Drosophila melanogaster: one gene and its partners. The protein of the gene in region 2 purifies or fractionates together with the protein of the main gene of each other region. This does not show direct contact. Each region holds a gene or a part of one and is shown on either strand. Other genes may lie near its edges.

Region 1 (5,468 bases), on a different chromosome or scaffold from region 2:
TCCGAGCATACGATCAACCACCGAAAGTTCCCACTTGAGATGCAGGTGATGCACAAAACGGGATCGGGTATTCCCCGTACTTGCACCAGCAGCTATGATCTCCTGATGATCGGATACGTCTTTGAGCTATCCGCGCACAATCCGTTCCTGGATCCCCTGGTGCAGAATTTGCGATTGGTTCAGAAGCCTGGAAAGCGTGTCCAGATTTCTCCATTTCCCATATCCTACTTGATGTATCAATTTCGATCTGGATTCTATTCCTACGGCGGTTCGCTGACCCATCCGCCCTGTTACCAGGGCACCGAATGGTTCATCTTTCCCGAATCCCTAGCCATTAGCGACTTTCAGCTGCGTCACTTTCGTTTGCTCCTAGGTCCGGATGGGATCTCGCCCATAGCCCGTAACAGCCGACCAGTCCAGCACATGGGCAATCGAGTTGTAAGCCTAAACTGCTTCTGCCCATACGATGCCGCCCAGTTGTCCAGAATGCATGTGGAGCTATGCCAGGCTCAAGCTCAGGAGGAGCACGAAGAGGAACGTATCGAGCAGGAGCAGCAATTGGAACTAGAGCGCGAACTGGAGCGGCAAAGGGAAAGCGACTTGAAAGCTCAGCAGGAGCAAGCAAGCGAGGCGGCCATCGCTGCTTCCGAGGATGAAGGTCAGCTAATTGAGACCATAGATACCACGACCATAATAACTAGTAGCAGCAACACTAGCATATGCATGACTACGCTGATGCGGAAGGATTCGCCTAGGCAACTGGAACAGCCATCTCAGATGCCTATGATGGCTCCCAATCAGGGTAACTTTTGCAATCCTGGCATTGTGATATTCAGCGGTGTCAATGAATCCAAGTCCAAGTGCGGCATCCATCAGGATACACCGGAGGAGCTAATGATCCATAACAGAGGAACGGGAAGAAACATGGGTGTACAGAATGGCTGCAAGGCCGATGCCTTTTGCGGCGTGGGCGATGGCGTCAACATCGGAATTCGCATGGAGCTGGTCGAGTAGCTAATGTGCTATTATCAACCTTTATGTCATCCATAGACACTCCATTTGTGGTCCATGCTGCACGAAGAACCGGTGGGGCTAGATGGTGCACATGAAACACCGGTCAAGGCCAACTGGTGGCCAACCGGAGTTCTCTCTGTGCCCGGAAGTGATTGAATCGCGTGCGTGTGGATTAAACAAGTTGCGTTTATATTTTCTAAAGCATAACCCCCCAATTCCCTTGACTTTTAATCCTTGGAGTAGGCGGGAGGGGTTGGCTTTAGCGGCCTGACTTGGGAAAGGACCCACTTGATTATCCCTGTCACGTCACTGGGAAAACTCAAAGCGAATTTCAGAGCTGAACGGCGGGTTGGTGGGCTGGTGGGCTGGTGCGGCCTTGAAAACTTTCAGCCTTGGCTTGGGCAAGTGACAACAGTCTCGGCTTACAGTTTGCCATTCGGGATGGTTGGCTGCCTGTTTTCCATATGCAATGAAGGCGGCGACATTGTGTCGATAATTTGTGTATATAGCCTGGTTCTCCTGGTTCCGTTTCCGCTCATCCTTATTTCCCCCGTCCAGAATCAGAAGTTGCGCAGCGGCAAAACGCTGTCAGATTGCTGATGAACGACTTGGTGTAGAAGGACCGAGTGCGCGCGTCATCGTCAAGGATTTTGCTGGCAAAAGGACAGGCTTCGCTCCTGTCAAGCCTCTTCAGGCCCAGAAATATCCTGGAGGGGCCCGAACCCAAACCCAAACCCAAACCCAAACGCAGACACCAAAGAGGGGCCGCAATAAGAGGTCTTCAACGGCAGACGGCCCTTATCACAGGCGCTGTGTGGAAATGTTTTTATCTGCTCGACTGCGTGTAATTATCGATTTTTCTGTTGTTTTCCCCCTGCGTGGGGGTGGCTGCCAGACCCTGCCCCCATTACCCACCCCCTTAACTGCTCTTTCATGTTTCAAATTTCCAATGATTTGGCAGCTGTTCAGCGGTCGGCAGCTGCGGGCTTGTTTAATTATTGATAAGAAACCCAATATTGGCCAAAACGAGAACTCAATCCTGCCTTAACGGTTCCAATTGGAAAAGTTTCAATTTAAGGTTTGTTGTCAAACGTAAATATTAGGCATGTGCATAAATACCGAGTTATCAATCAATGGGAATAAACAATTAACTCTTTCCTGGAAGTTGTAAAACTACATATGTATTATTTGGCCACATTCATATGTATGTATAGCCCATATCTATTGTCAATAAGATATGATACACTAAGCTGAAATCCATCAGAAGTTTTTTTGGAACTACTATAAAAGTAACATTGAGTTATTAAATACCTTTTAAATACTTTTAAAAAGTTGATGTGTAATCTTTATAATGTCAAAATCAATGAAGTTTAATGTAAAAATAATAAATTCCAACCAACGGCCTCATTATTTGACAATATGGAACTGATACTGCAAAGTTTTTGATGCGAAAACTCAGGTATTTTGGTTTTAGCTGGAACTAGTACCCCCATTCACCCATTTTGGTCCATCATGGCGGATACTTAATGTGTCAGATAAACTTACTCTTTCTTGAGGTTATTGCGGTTACAGTAGTATCTGCTGCTAATATCTCAGTTGCTGTTTATGATGGTGCTGCTGCAGATCCTGCTGTCACAAGAATATCCTGCTGTTTTCGATGTGTGGGTGAGAGGTACGCCGTGTTGTTGCTCGCACATACACACAAATCGATAATGGCAGCTCCTTTCGCTGAAGGGATAAGGAAAAGGACTCGACTCAGCCTTGGCACTGGACTGACATACGCCGCGATTTCACGTCGATTGATTCGTCGAGTTGTTTACGGTTACCCAATCAACTATTCACACGCCCGCGGACCCACTCGTCTGGCCAGAATTGAACTGACTCCGGCTGCAGTGGCTCAATTATTCAGCAAATGCAACGCACCAACTGTTCTACCTTTTTGCCTCGACACGTCGACACCAAAGGACACACAATTTTCAATTTTTTCTTCGCTCTCAGGCGGCGAATTGACTGGTGCGGCGAAAACGGGCCAGTTTTGTATACGTTTTCATAATTCAACTGTTTCAACCTGGCTGACTGGCTGGCTAACTGACTGACTGGATGACTGGCTGCTGCCCACACAATTTCCCTGCTGCTTTTCCTGCTGCTGAAAATCGATGGGTTTCCGTGCCTGGGGTGTCTGTGTGTGGGCGTAGCTTTCGCGGCGATTTCGGGCGAGCTTTCCATTCATGCGCCGGTCATGCGCACTTCGCACTTCCGCAGCCTTGTGGAGCACTGGCCCAGGGGTTCATTTGAATTTATTCGTGGGCGCGAATTTATTCGTTCACTTTGTGAACCCATGTTCTTATCCTGAAACAATATAGACCAAGGAACTCATAAAAACAGTAAATAAAATTTATAAGAATTGTTTCTTTAAATATTCTAAATATTCCTTCTTGAAACCTTTGGAACTGGCGCATATCGCAACCTTGAGAACTGCAATTAGTTTATTGCACAATAAAAAATCCAAATCAAATCTGGGTTCAAAGATTCTGAGTATAAAGAGTTTAATGACCAACAATTAACAACGATTTTACCACCTACAGTTTACTGTTTCCCGCTAGTAGATCGCGTACCAATCGAACTGCGTACATAGCCGTTCCAGGAGCCGTGGTCACACCGTAGCCGCCGTGGCCGTAGTTGTGGACTACCTTCAGCCGCCTGCCTTCCGGATTCGTGATCAGTTCTGGCTCCACCCGAACGACGGAGCGGTGTGGCCGCAGACCAACACATTCCCGCACGATCTCCGCTTTCCGGAGACTGGGCAGCAAATCGTAGCAACGCTCTCGAATGGCCATGCTATCGTATTTGCACCACTCGGTGTTGTAGCTGTCGAATTGGCGACATCCTCCCAGGGTCACAGTCTCAAATCCGGGAAGAACGTAGGTGTCGTAATCGCCGTAGAAAGCCGTCTTTACCCAGGGAGCACGCACTTTGAGCACTTGACCCCGAATGGGAACCAAGTGCTGGTCCCCACACAACTCCTTGGCTCCCATTCCGGTGCAGTTAAGGAGCAAGTCAATGTTCTGCGGCACTTCGAAAAAGCTGTTCACATGCTGACGGACAACCTCTCCTCCGTTCTCCAGGAATCTACAATATGTTAATATTTACGATTATTTTCAAATTGTTTCTCTTTCATATCATAAAACAGCTACTCACTTTTTAGTGGCATAGGGCAAGAAGAGGCGGCTTTCCGTTAGGCATGTGGTGAAGAAGGATCCGTACTTCCAGCCGCCGTTGCATAGCCTCAGTTCCTCCTCGGTGGCTCTTCGGTAGACGGGCAATAGTTTCTCAATAAAGTGGTTCTAAGGCAGCCAACAACAAAGTTAATCGAATTAAGCCGATGAAGATAAGAATCACTGATTGTCGACTGCCCGGCAACGTACCCGTACGATGGAGGGGGAGGTGCGGGAGTAAATATAGCCGGATAATTGGCACACGCCCGCCAGAGGAGCCTCCTTGGAGCGACGCAGCTCATCCCAGTAGTTGAAGGCATCGGTCATCCATTGTCTACGATGAAAAGAAAAGTCGTTAGATGCACAACAGGTGTGTTTGAATCCCAAACAGATTCTCACTGCGTAATTTTCTGGGTGGGGCCCATAAAGCTGGTTCCAGGTCGGAAAATTCCAGCCGCCACATAGCTGACGGTGTCCTCGTTAAACCGATCCGCAATCACGGAAACCCTTGCTGTGGGAAACTCCTTCTGGAGTTCTAAGGCGGTCGTAAGACCAATGATACCGCTTCCCAAGACTCCGAAATGCATTCTGGATCCGCTTTGAGTTGATACCCAATCCCAATGGAAGGCGATTTGGTACTGAGCATGCTTTTAAAGGTGCTTGCGAAGCTGGCTGCGTCTTATCAGCTCTTATCAAATCCGCTCTCCATCGCGCCTCCAAAGATGAGATAAACTTTACTGCTCTCTTTTAAAATTGCAATAAACACTTTTTCCGTTGTTTTTATTATGGTTGCAAACAGTGCTGCACGCTTACAGTAGACTTTAATTAAGTATAACGAAATATTAATGTAACAGTGAGTATTCAATACGAGATACAGCTTTTAAAATAGATATAGAATTAAATGTAGCCAAATTTAAATAAAAAAAGCATCTTTGCTTAAAAAACTGGCAAAATACATATATTTCATAGCTTAAAAATAAGCTAATTGTTTGTCCTATTCTTTCTTACGGGTATCTACTGTACATCGAAAATACTGTGTTGAATCAGCTGTTTGTACTAAACACATCTAAAAAAAACACATCCATTCTAGGGACCACAACAACTTTTCTAAACTGTCGTCAGTATAACTTGTCAACCCAAATTGGATTGACAAATTTTTAAAACAATTATTGTACTCCGCTGAAATTAAACTATTTACCGGCGTTCAAAGCGGAAAACTCAAAAATACCTACACGCGGA
Region 2 (5,685 bases):
GCGAATGGAAATGGAAATGGACGGGAAATGGACTGGCCCATGCAATCCAATTGACATGTTAGCCCTGTGATCAGACGACTCGACGCTCCACAGCTAGCTGGATACAAATTATAAAAGAAAATCCGGTTTGTAGCGAATACAGAAATGAAGAAGAAACAACCGACGACTTGATTGCAACATCAAAAGGAAAAGCGGCGCAAATAAAAAAAAGAGAGAGAGAGATGAAAAACTCGCGTCTGGGCATAGATAGAACATTCGTTTAAAGATGGAACCGAACCGGTTGACTGGAGTTCATAGGGGCACCCACACATCGAAATAGACTTCAGCTGAAAAAGTAACACATGCAAAGGCGCCTCTAAGCAAACAAAAGATGCACGATAGCAGGCATCGAAAAAGTGGAAAAACGTGGATTTAGCATCTTCATAGATCCAAATAGACGTCTATCATAACTTTAAGGCCAAGATGGACAGAAGAAGATCACATCATTCATTTACAGTCTGTATTCGGCACTATGGGAAGATCGTGAGATTTGGGGGAACAATTAGTTATTAGCGTAGATTATTGTAATTTTGTGTATTCATTTATTTCCCCAATTGTTCTCTGTACCTTTGAGAGTTGGGTTGTTCCCATGATTGTACTGTTTAACTTTTACTCAAATGTTCTGTCTTCTTTGCAGTGAAAAGGGTGTTTGTTCTGCGACTGTAAAGCTCTAGGAATCCCATGGCAGCCGTAGTGCCTTGTCCCATTTCGAGCGACAATTTTGGGTCATTCCCCCCATCTTCAACATGGGCTGCCACGATTACGCCGCTCCACTCAAGTCGACGCAGTACTCATTGCGTTTGAGTGGCTTTAATTCGTTAATCTTTGGCCCAATGCGAGTGCATCATCCAGCTGGAGATTACGGGAAGCGAGAAAACTCCGGCAAACAGCGGGAAATTCTTTGCGGCATCTGATTCATTTCCCAATTAAACATTTATGCGGGACACCAGCAAATTTCGCTGCTGTGACTCATGAGCGATGGGATGTGGAACTTGCTCGGCCAGTTTCGTGCCAAAATCAAAAATGTTTATTTGGTTTGCTTTTTTTCGGGTGCAGTGCCTATAAAGCACACTTACATATATACGTAATTATAGTAGATATCTGCTTTTGTTTTCGCATGGAGGCTACTGTGAGCAGTCAGTCTTGCATGTCCACTGAGGAGCCGTGGAAATATGTGCTAAAAATGTCCGTCCGGAGGCCAAAGAAACTATGCAAAAATATTTACAGTGAATGCTGCCAAAAGGAGAACGGGTTTCTCTTAAAAAATTTAAAGAGGTTTGTACATATGTACACTGCTAATTAGGATTATTATTCAAAGTGATCATCGACTACTAATCCAACTTGTATCCGTTTGCCTTATCGAGTGCTCCCTGTCATAGTGAGTAGCTGCTTTGCATAAGTTTGAGCCAAAACGATGATGTCACAACGCGGCAGGGAGTTAGCTCCACTTTTTGCCATTATAATTACAGCATTTGCCGCTGATAATGTTGTTTTATTTCATGCACAATTAACACACGGCAGCCGTAAACTCACAGCGCACAAAGCTCGTTTTGTTTGGGTTAATGTGATTTTTATATCGAACGCCAGAGATGAATGACATCATTACGGAATGTATCTTTCTTAGCACACATATGTACATATCTTTCTTTGTGAGGCACTTCTGCCAACTTCTCGGTGCGTTCGTCTTTCTTTCGAACGCTTTTCTCGATTCGGTTTTATTCGCAAGTAACTGTGCCAAAAGCAATGACCGCTGCGCCAGATAGCCAAGATAAAGACACAAAAAAAATAAATAAAAATAAAAAACAAGCAGCAACATAAATGCTTAACGATCATAGACAAGGCTGGTAAAAATAAAAAGGTTTAATGTGGTTTTAAGTAGGCAGTCTAGTACACTTTTTACATGTATTTCAAGGGGTTTTTTGTAACGAAATTTGTTTTCTAGACACTTTTGTGCTTTTTAAGTGAAATGCGCAACCAAATTCCATACTTTTTTTCAAGGGGCGTTTTAAAGTTAATACGCGATAGAAAGCCCAACAAACAAACATTCTCCTATAATGATAATGATAAGTGAGGTCATAATAATAAGGCAAATCTATATCTTTTTTGTTTAAAGTCATCGTCACCCCATTGCTTAGTCATATTTTTCAAAATCTAAATTAAAGCTGCTTTTTGAGTAATAAAAGAGATTGTTAGAACATATTCCACAACCAACTTAATATTTCAGTTTTTGATTAAGATTGGGAATTGTAGTTTTTTTTTAAAGATAATATTCATATTCATAGAAACATAATCTTGAATATTTAGCTGTGCTTTTTGTTGATCTAAGCTAAGTTTGACTACCCTATTTCTGTGTAGATTCTATTTGCAGTGTTGCTATTTCCTTGACCATGGCTGTGTCTATAAATAGGCGTAGGATATCTGGGCTTACCGGGAGTTGAAGGGTCGAACCCTTACGGCGACCTTGAGTGACGACATTTCGATGGTGGCGATGGGGGTGGCTACGCGGGATTCTTGTACTCCTTTATTTGTTTATTTGGGTGGTGGGTGGTGCGGATTTGGGGGGCGTTTTCAGCACGTACAGTAAACCAAAAGCAAAGAGATGGGTACCAAACAAAAAAAATAGGAAAAAACTTGCAGCAGCAGGTTTTGTTCTTGTTGTTGTTGTTGTTGTTCTCGCCTGACCACTTGCCACGTAATTTGATTTTTTTGGGATGGATTGTCAATGGGGGGAGGGGTGGTAAAAGAAATGGGGGTGGGGGGCAGCAGTGGAAACACAATTCACTCTGTTGCGTTTTTGTCCGACTTTTGGTCTTTCTGCTTTCCGTTTGCTCTGCTTTTCAGTTTGTTTTTCTCTTCGTCTTCTTGTACACCGTTATTTCGATTGCGAGCCTCCCGTTCGCAAAATCAGCGAACTTTGCGAACTTTTCGCGGCTCCACAAACAACTGCACATACTACCACTAATAAAATTAAGATTAAATTGTGCGCAATTCGACATTAATTCACTTGCACAATTTTTCCTGCCATTTTTTTCGGCGGCTGCTCATTGCAACTCGCTGCGTTTTTGCGCTGACCATATGTGTCTGCCCATATATTCACTGGACATGGGTCATTAAGTGCAGCACGATGAAAATAAGAAAAATAGCACGCTGTATGTACACTTTGTTACTTCGATTTGCGTTTATCTCTGTTTTTTAACGAACGCGACGCGATGTTGTGTTGTTGTTCATCGTTCGACTCGGTGTGACCGTTCGCAGAACAGTGCTAATAAACTGCGGAGTTACACACTCGCCTTCTGGCAGTGCGGTCACACCAATTCGATGTTTTCAACATTCATAGAAATGGTTGATAACACGGATAGCGCATACTCAAACCGATTTGAATGTTTTCTAAATTCAAAAACTTGTTCCTATTGTTCAAACCAAAGATTTTTAAAAAAATTAGATCTAACTTTAGAGGCAGATCTCAAATACTCAGCAATATAACCTTGTTCATGGACGCAATTTGTCATCATTTTAATTTTAAAGCTTACAAAATTGAGGTGCATTTCGAAAATATTAAGCCCGTGTTGATACGATAAAACGTTTACAAAGTGAGGCAATTAAAGCTATTTGTTAGTGCTGTTAAACAGCATTGAAGTAAATTATAGAATAGGTTTGCATTTTTCGATCACACTCATTCTCAGTTGACAACAATGTACACAGCATACAAACTAAGGCTCCTAATCTCCACCAGACTGCCTGGGTCATACGTAGGTGCCGTTCCACCGCTGACACCACTCCAGCGCATACTCGTAGCCCAGGAAAGTGGCGGCATTGAAGGGAACCGCCCGCGCCACCAGCATCCAGCTGCCGCGGAAGATGCTCCTCCAGCCGTAGGCTCTGTACTGCACCCGCACGCAATGGAAGATGCCCCGGTACTTGTGATTCTCATCCGCCTGCATCAGCGTCTTGACCACGTCGAACGGAATGACACACACCCACGAGATGACTCCCGCCCAGGCGCCGGCCAGCGTGGTCACCAGCAGGTTCACACTGGATCCGTCCGACTGACTGCGTCGCCGGCGCACAAAGTCCCGCCTGTCCATGTAGTCAACGCCCTGGCGATAGGCCAGCATATAGATTCCATAGGGCAGGACGTCGCTGTAACCAAACGACCATTGAAAGATTCATGTATTTTTGGACTACCACCTGGACTAACTTACCGGCACATCATGGGCAAAAGGCCGCGATAGAGCCCCGAGATGCCATCAGTCTTGAGTATCCTTTTGAACGTGCCAAAGGCGGTCCTTCTCTGGCCATACAGATAGTCACTGTAATCTACGGAATTTCACAAATTAATCCTCCATTTTGGGATTAAAAAATCAAGTAGAACCCACAAGTGGCTGTCTGCAGGCGAACCTTGATCAGCTCCATGGGACAGGCGATGAAGGACTGCACGAATCCCGCCACAGAGCCCGCCAGGAACATGTTGTGGTACTCCAGCTGCTCCCGCTGGTAGTCACTGTGGCACACCTTTCTCAGCTGCCGCAGATGGTTTCCATAGATGCCGAAAAGCAGCGAGTTGATCGCTCCCGTCGAGATGAACGGGAAGAACATGCCCCTGTAGAAGCCGTTGACCTTTGAGGCGATGCTGATCGATTAAACCCATCACGACCCACCTAGGCGCTCTAAGGGATTGCGTCCAGTCGGAGTCGGGATTAAGAATAGGACAAAGCCATTTTGGCTGGTTTAAATATTTGAAAAGTTATGAATAAAAAAGGAGATTGGAAGATCGACATGTACATCGTTATCCAAATATTTCACATAAAATTTGTATCCTTGAAAAAAAGTTTCCAACTAGACGCAATCCTTCTTTCCAAACTTACCCCATTATTTCTGCTGTAGATCTGTTGAATGGCTGTCACAACGGATGAATTTGAGGCCTGTTGCCAAACTTTGATCGTGTCGAGTGGGTGGGCCACCAGCACCCCGCAGGCACCTGAATATCAGAGTATAAAAATCAAGAATGCAGCATAAATTAATTAAAATTGTGGCCACAAAGTTAAACAACACATGTTGAACGGCCGCCGCCGCCGACAGCCGCTTGCCAAGAATCCGATGGATCAGGGGCGCCGCACGTGAACTTGACCATGGCGCCCGTTTTCCGCCGGGACTGAGGCAGTTCCCCTCAACAAGTGGCCTATCGCCACACGGCTGCTGCATTGCGTCATGCATGGCCCAGAGTTCTGACCAAATTGGGATGAATACCAGCTGGAGCTCTGCCGCTCCGTCACTCACCACCAAAGCATCCGGCCACAAAGTCGCAGTAGTTCTCCCACTTCATGGATGCGGATTTTCAGCGAACGCTTGGAGTTTTCGGAAAATTGATTTTTCTCGCGATTTTCCAACTGCACCTCACGACGGCAGCGAACCAACTGCAGTGCACAGCTTTTGTGGCTCGGCAGCAAAGCTCTGCGATTTCGCCAGCTTTCCCAGCGAACAGAAGCTGATTGCTAAAAAATAGGCAAACCGAATGCTCACTTTTCAAAAAAAGATACTTTCTAACGAAAAAGTAACTCTGCTAAGCATAATGATATCTTGTGGGTATACAGCTCAAAACTATTCAGTTCTAAACTTAAAATTTTCAAACCAAACTTTCTAGAATTT
Region 3 (4,907 bases), on a different chromosome or scaffold from region 2:
ACTTCATGTCGCGTCCAAAGCGCGGTATCCTTAGTCTGTAGTGCCGCCCGTGGGCCGCATGGATCTCCACATAGCGATCGCATTGCAGGAACACCATCTTGCTGTAGTCGTCGCTAATCACCTCAAAGGTGGTCACCTCGGCGTCGAAGCAGCGCTCGAATTTGATAGACAGGTTGGACACCTCGAAGCACTTGACGCGCGGCTTGTAAGTGCCGGTGGCCAGGATGTACTGTTGGTCGGGACTCATGCGGATGCTGGTGCAGACGCCGGGCATATCGAAGTCCTGGATGAGCTCGATCTGTCTCCGGGAGTCCACTTTTTTCATGAGCTGTGACCGCTTTCGCCGATCCGTCAGCCACTGTGAAGGAGATACTCATGAGTTAACTGCTTGGCAACGGGTTTATCTTGCTACTCACATCTGGCACCGACTTGCCGGCGCTCAGGTTGTAGATCTTCACATCGTTAACTTCGTTTACGAACATCTTGAGGGACGATTTTTGCTCAAAATTAAAACATAAACAAACGAAGTCCGCAACACGTGCGCCCTCTATCGATAGACACGATTGTCGATAGCATCTGGCTGCGATAAGCACCTATCGCGGCAGTGTGACCCTTGGCTTGCCAATTGCTCAGTGTGACCGCAGGAAACCAAGCAAAACAAGAGAACGCAAAAGCAGTGAAAAAAGACTACTGATTTGCATCGACCTACCAATTGAAAATAATCGCAATAATTGCCTCTCGGTGCAGCCCCGCAACCCCGCGAAGCCAGTGTGCGTGCTAGCACGAAAGTGAACTGCATTTTGCATCGCCAAATTGCCCAAAAATTGCAATCGAATTCCGCACAGCCAAACAACAATACGCACACATACACACAGTACCCCCCGCTCTGCGTAACCGCCCTACGTTACACATTCCGTTCGCTCCCTAAGGTGGACTAAAACTAAAGTGATCTAAAACGGTGAGTAATATTCGTTGTTTTTCCTTAAGCCAATTAAACACTGATTAAATTATGCGAAATGGAAAACCGTCTGCGAAGGGGTGACGCAGTGCAGCTGTGGGTGCTCCGCAACTTTCCCTTGTGCTCTCGCTCTCTCTTGTTTTTGTCGTTAGGCAGCAGCACTCCATTGTTGTTGTATACACCCCCTGATTGCTTTGATACCCTGCAATGGGGAGTTACTGTTTTGTGACCAAGTTAAGAAAATAAATATGATTTACAAAAATCGATTAATTCTGGGGATGTTTCAGGTTTTTATGGTGTATAATTTATTTTTTGAATTTTTAGGGGATGGTGGGGCAAAAACGGCCGCCACTCTACTTAAAAATCGGTAGGTGAGGAGTTTGTTTAGTATACGCTATAAATAAATACTCTAAATTAGTTTTTATAAGATGGATTATTATATGAGTGTATGAGTTATCATAGAAATATTTACCTGTGCTTATATATTAATTTATTATATGAATTATGCAAACAAGGTTTTTTCAAAATGTAGGCGAGCATGAATAAAAAATTATAATAAATCAGAAGTTTTCTTAGTAGTTGTTATCAGTTATTAATATATTTCTTTTTCATTTTGTTGTGTCTTATTGCGTTGTTGTCTTCAATGCGGGCTTATTTTATTAGTTTGAATGGATGTGCGCTTATTTGTAGATACTCAAATATCAAATCGTATTCAGTTATATCTTAGAAATGGAATATAAAGCGCACATTTATAAAAGTATATTTATATTTAAGATTTTTTGCCAAAGGGTATACATACTTCGTCTGTGTATAAATATATATTTCTCATACTCCTTTCGTTATTTTCCCTGTTATGGGTGCGCCGCTGTGTTCCTTTTATGAGGGGCAATGATGATCCACTTCCATTCAACACATTTTGCAAATAAGTACATATGTACTTCGCCTCCATTGATTGCTCCACTGATGTTTGGCCTTTGGCGCTTGACTGATAAGACTCGAGACCGAGACCTACTACTTAGTTAGTCTAAACTGCCCGTCATAGAGCCTATTAAACTGATATGCACTTGTCACTTTGACAAGCAATGATAAGCGATTATAACTGTATTTGATGATTTAAGTATGAGCAATTAAGAATCCATAATTGATACTCATCTTTTCACACTATATGCTGCTAAGTCACATTCTTTTGTATGAAATTCATTCATATGAAGTAAGGCAGGATGATTACCCTAAATACAAACTAACTTGATGAATAACTTCGCGCGTACTGCTCTTAATAATTGAATTCCCACGATTGCTTGCTCGGCGACCTTGATCCAAATCGCTTTCAGCTTGGGCGAAGGGTTCAATTCACTCTCTTCAGCGCCCCTTAACTGCGGACAAATCAAAGGCTTTCGAACGACACGGATACTGCGAATGGACAAAGTCAAGTGGCATGAAGTGGATATACCCGCCGCTCTTGAAGCTTGCCTCTTTCTTATTTTTTTTTTTTTTTGGCTTCAGTTGGCAGGCAAACAAACCCGGTCGGCTGTTCAAACACAAGCAGGCCTTAAAAAGAAATATCGGGGCCAGTTCGAGAAAGGGGAACAAAATGTGGTGTCGACGCAGAACAAATTAATGCAGCGCCTCGGTTTGTTGATAAGCAGCGACTACGGTTGGACATTCAAATGAGGAGCTGATAGTAGTAGTTAACACTGTTTGATTGGGTCAGAGTTCATTTCTGCCGGTGTCAAGATGAGCAAAGTGCGCAGCGTGGTGAACAAACTGCACGAACGCATAGACTACTTTATTGAAAAATGTGTGAAATATTCTATATACTCAATGACTCTGCAATGTAATAATAATAATAATTTCGCTTGCTTTTTAGGTCCCAACATGACTGCAGCGCCATACAACTACAACTATATCTTTAAATACATCATCATTGGTGACATGGGCGTGGGCAAGTCCTGCCTGCTCCACCAGTTCACCGAGAAGAAATGTGAGTAGACTGTGCTGAGTAATAATGTATGTAATAAGAACTAATCTCTACTTGCCGTCCTGCAGTCATGGCCAATTGTCCTCACACCATTGGCGTGGAGTTCGGCACACGCATCATTGAGGTGGACGACAAAAAGATCAAGCTACAGATCTGGGACACAGCGGGTCAGGAGCGATTCAGGGCAGTGACACGCTCCTATTACCGTGGAGCAGCTGGTGCGCTGATGGTCTACGATATTACCAGGCGGTAAGCGAAGCAAGCTACTATTTGAGAAATTGCTTTACAACTTGACCATTCCAGCTCCACGTACAATCACCTGAGCAGCTGGCTTACCGACACTCGCAATCTCACCAATCCCAGCACTGTGATCTTTCTCATTGGCAACAAATCGGATCTGGAGAGCACTCGGGAGGTTACCTACGAGGAGGCCAAGGAGTTTGCCGACGAGAACGGCCTAATGTTTCTCGAAGCGAGCGCTATGACGTGAGTTTCAACTGGAAGCATAGTGTTTGAGCATATACTGATTATCTTTTTTTTTATCGCCCAAACAGTGGCCAGAATGTGGAGGAGGCTTTTCTGGAGACCGCACGCAAGATTTACCAGAACATCCAGGAGGGTCGGCTCGATCTGAACGCCTCCGAGTCCGGAGTTCAGCACAGGCCATCGCAGCCGTCGCGAACTTCGCTGAGTAGCGAGGCTACGGGCGCCAAGGATCAGTGCTCGTGCTAAATGAATGATGGAACCTAACTTTACGCAAAACCTAGTTATACAAATCAACTTTTATTTTTAGCCGACTCGTAATCTACCGATGCCCAAGCAAAAACCAATGTATGTAGTTAAATAATTCGATTAAGCATCAATGTGTGAGCCAACAACAGCGACAGCAACCACAAAAAAAAAAAAAAACAGAAAAAGAAAATATAAAGTCCTTTCGCTTAATAAGACGCAAGCATTGCAACATTTATTGTATCGGTTAAGCATAAATACTAGAAAATTAAACATGTTTGTTGGCGCAAACTAAAGTTTTGACCATGAAATTTCGAAAAGTTTATCGCACTAACACCATCCTTCGGTCTCAATTTATAGATGAATTCGTTTGAGATATAGATCATGTTTTTGTTGGCTGATGAATCCCTGTATATAATATATATATGTATGAATTTTTGTATCTCCCTAATTTTTTGTTGAGTATTTGTTGTTGTCGCGTGCAAGAATTGGAGGAAACGATCAATGTTATATGAATATTTACGATGTATTAATGGCATAATGCAATAGGAAATAAATAAAATGGTATTTATAAAACCCCTACCAATAGAAATGAATTTCTCTTTCAAATAATTTAAATTTTAATTTGCATATTTAACCATTCGTTTATATTTAATTCTACACCAAATCGCTGGATAATTTTATAATTTACCGGATTTCCATTTAATAGATTTAAATTTTATAAATATTTGGGTACTTACGATTTACTTAAATATTTTGTAAAAAGCTTTTTTAATCCATTTAGTGGAATACCCTCAACTTTGACTTGCGCATAACTTCATTCTTGTTTTATTTAGTGATGCTAACGTTGGGTTGGAAATCAGCTGATTATGACTATGAACAATAAAGTTTGTAAGTCAAACAACGATTTTTCGTATACTGTTCTTTTGTTTGTTGCTGGTTGTCTAATTAATCATTTTAACTGGTTATCAGTCCAATTTTTGTTTTCTACACTACACTATTCTACACTATTTTCGATTTCCTTGAAATTTAGCGGGAAAAACTCTGAGCTAGCATCTTCGGTGGCATCGCTGTGTGCGCGCTTTTGTGCGAATGCCATGGTATGCAAATTAAATTTAATTTATTCCGATCATCATGAAAGTGACAAAGTAGCTGCTTAAGTAGCCAGGGAAGCGCACAACGTAATCTAATCTCGATCCATGATGCAAATCAAGCGCCTCCTGTGCAAATCCTGCGGCCTGG

Evidence for each region. Proteins that work in one complex are often made in the same cells at the same time.
Region 1: the proteins of Klp98A (region 2) and Rab3 purify together in Drosophila melanogaster (affinity purification with western blotting, with the first as the bait; one study listed by BioGRID). This does not show direct contact.
Region 3: the proteins of Klp98A (region 2) and Rab14 purify together in Drosophila melanogaster (affinity purification with western blotting, with the first as the bait; one study listed by BioGRID). This does not show direct contact.

Annotation. Positions count from the first base shown.
Region 1 is NT_033778.4:10,726,046-10,731,513, forward strand, and holds the start of Rab3 (Rab3), read right to left. Parts: upstream 3,159-5,468; 5' UTR 2,560-3,158; intron 1,228-2,559; exon of another isoform or gene 1,015-1,227; coding exon of another isoform or gene 1-1,014. Other genes in the region: CAH13 (carbonic anhydrase 13), read left to right, coding at 1-1,014; Daao1 (D-amino acid oxidase 1), read right to left, coding at 3,594-4,143, 4,213-4,358, 4,440-4,563, 4,629-4,816. UniProt on the Drosophila melanogaster protein: Involved in exocytosis by regulating a late step in synaptic vesicle fusion. Could play a role in neurotransmitter release by regulating membrane flow in the nerve terminal.
Region 2 is NT_033777.3:27,555,859-27,561,543, forward strand, and holds the start of Klp98A (Kinesin-like protein at 98A), read right to left. Parts: upstream 3,288-5,685; 5' UTR 2,515-3,287; coding exon 2,468-2,514; intron 1-2,467. Other genes in the region: CG5646 (uncharacterized protein), read right to left, coding at 3,783-4,179, 4,242-4,356, 4,416-4,656, 4,905-5,017, 5,317-5,362. UniProt on the Drosophila melanogaster protein: Plus end-directed motor protein involved in asymmetric cell division of sensory organ precursor (SOP) cells by playing a role in the asymmetric localization of Sara-expressing endosomes to the pIIa daughter cell but not to the pIIb cell.
Region 3 is NT_033779.5:14,354,516-14,359,422, forward strand, and holds Rab14 (Rab14), read left to right. Parts: upstream 1-2,525; 5' UTR 2,526-2,692; coding exon 2,693-2,756; intron 2,757-2,765; exon of another isoform or gene 2,766-2,825; coding exon 2,826-2,939; intron 2,940-3,004; coding exon 3,005-3,185; intron 3,186-3,239; coding exon 3,240-3,422; intron 3,423-3,490; coding exon 3,491-3,668; 3' UTR 3,669-4,249; downstream 4,250-4,907. Other genes in the region: l(2)34Fd (lethal (2) 34Fd), read right to left, coding at 1-358, 417-482; Pgant35A (polypeptide N-acetylgalactosaminyltransferase 35A), read left to right, coding at 4,865-4,907.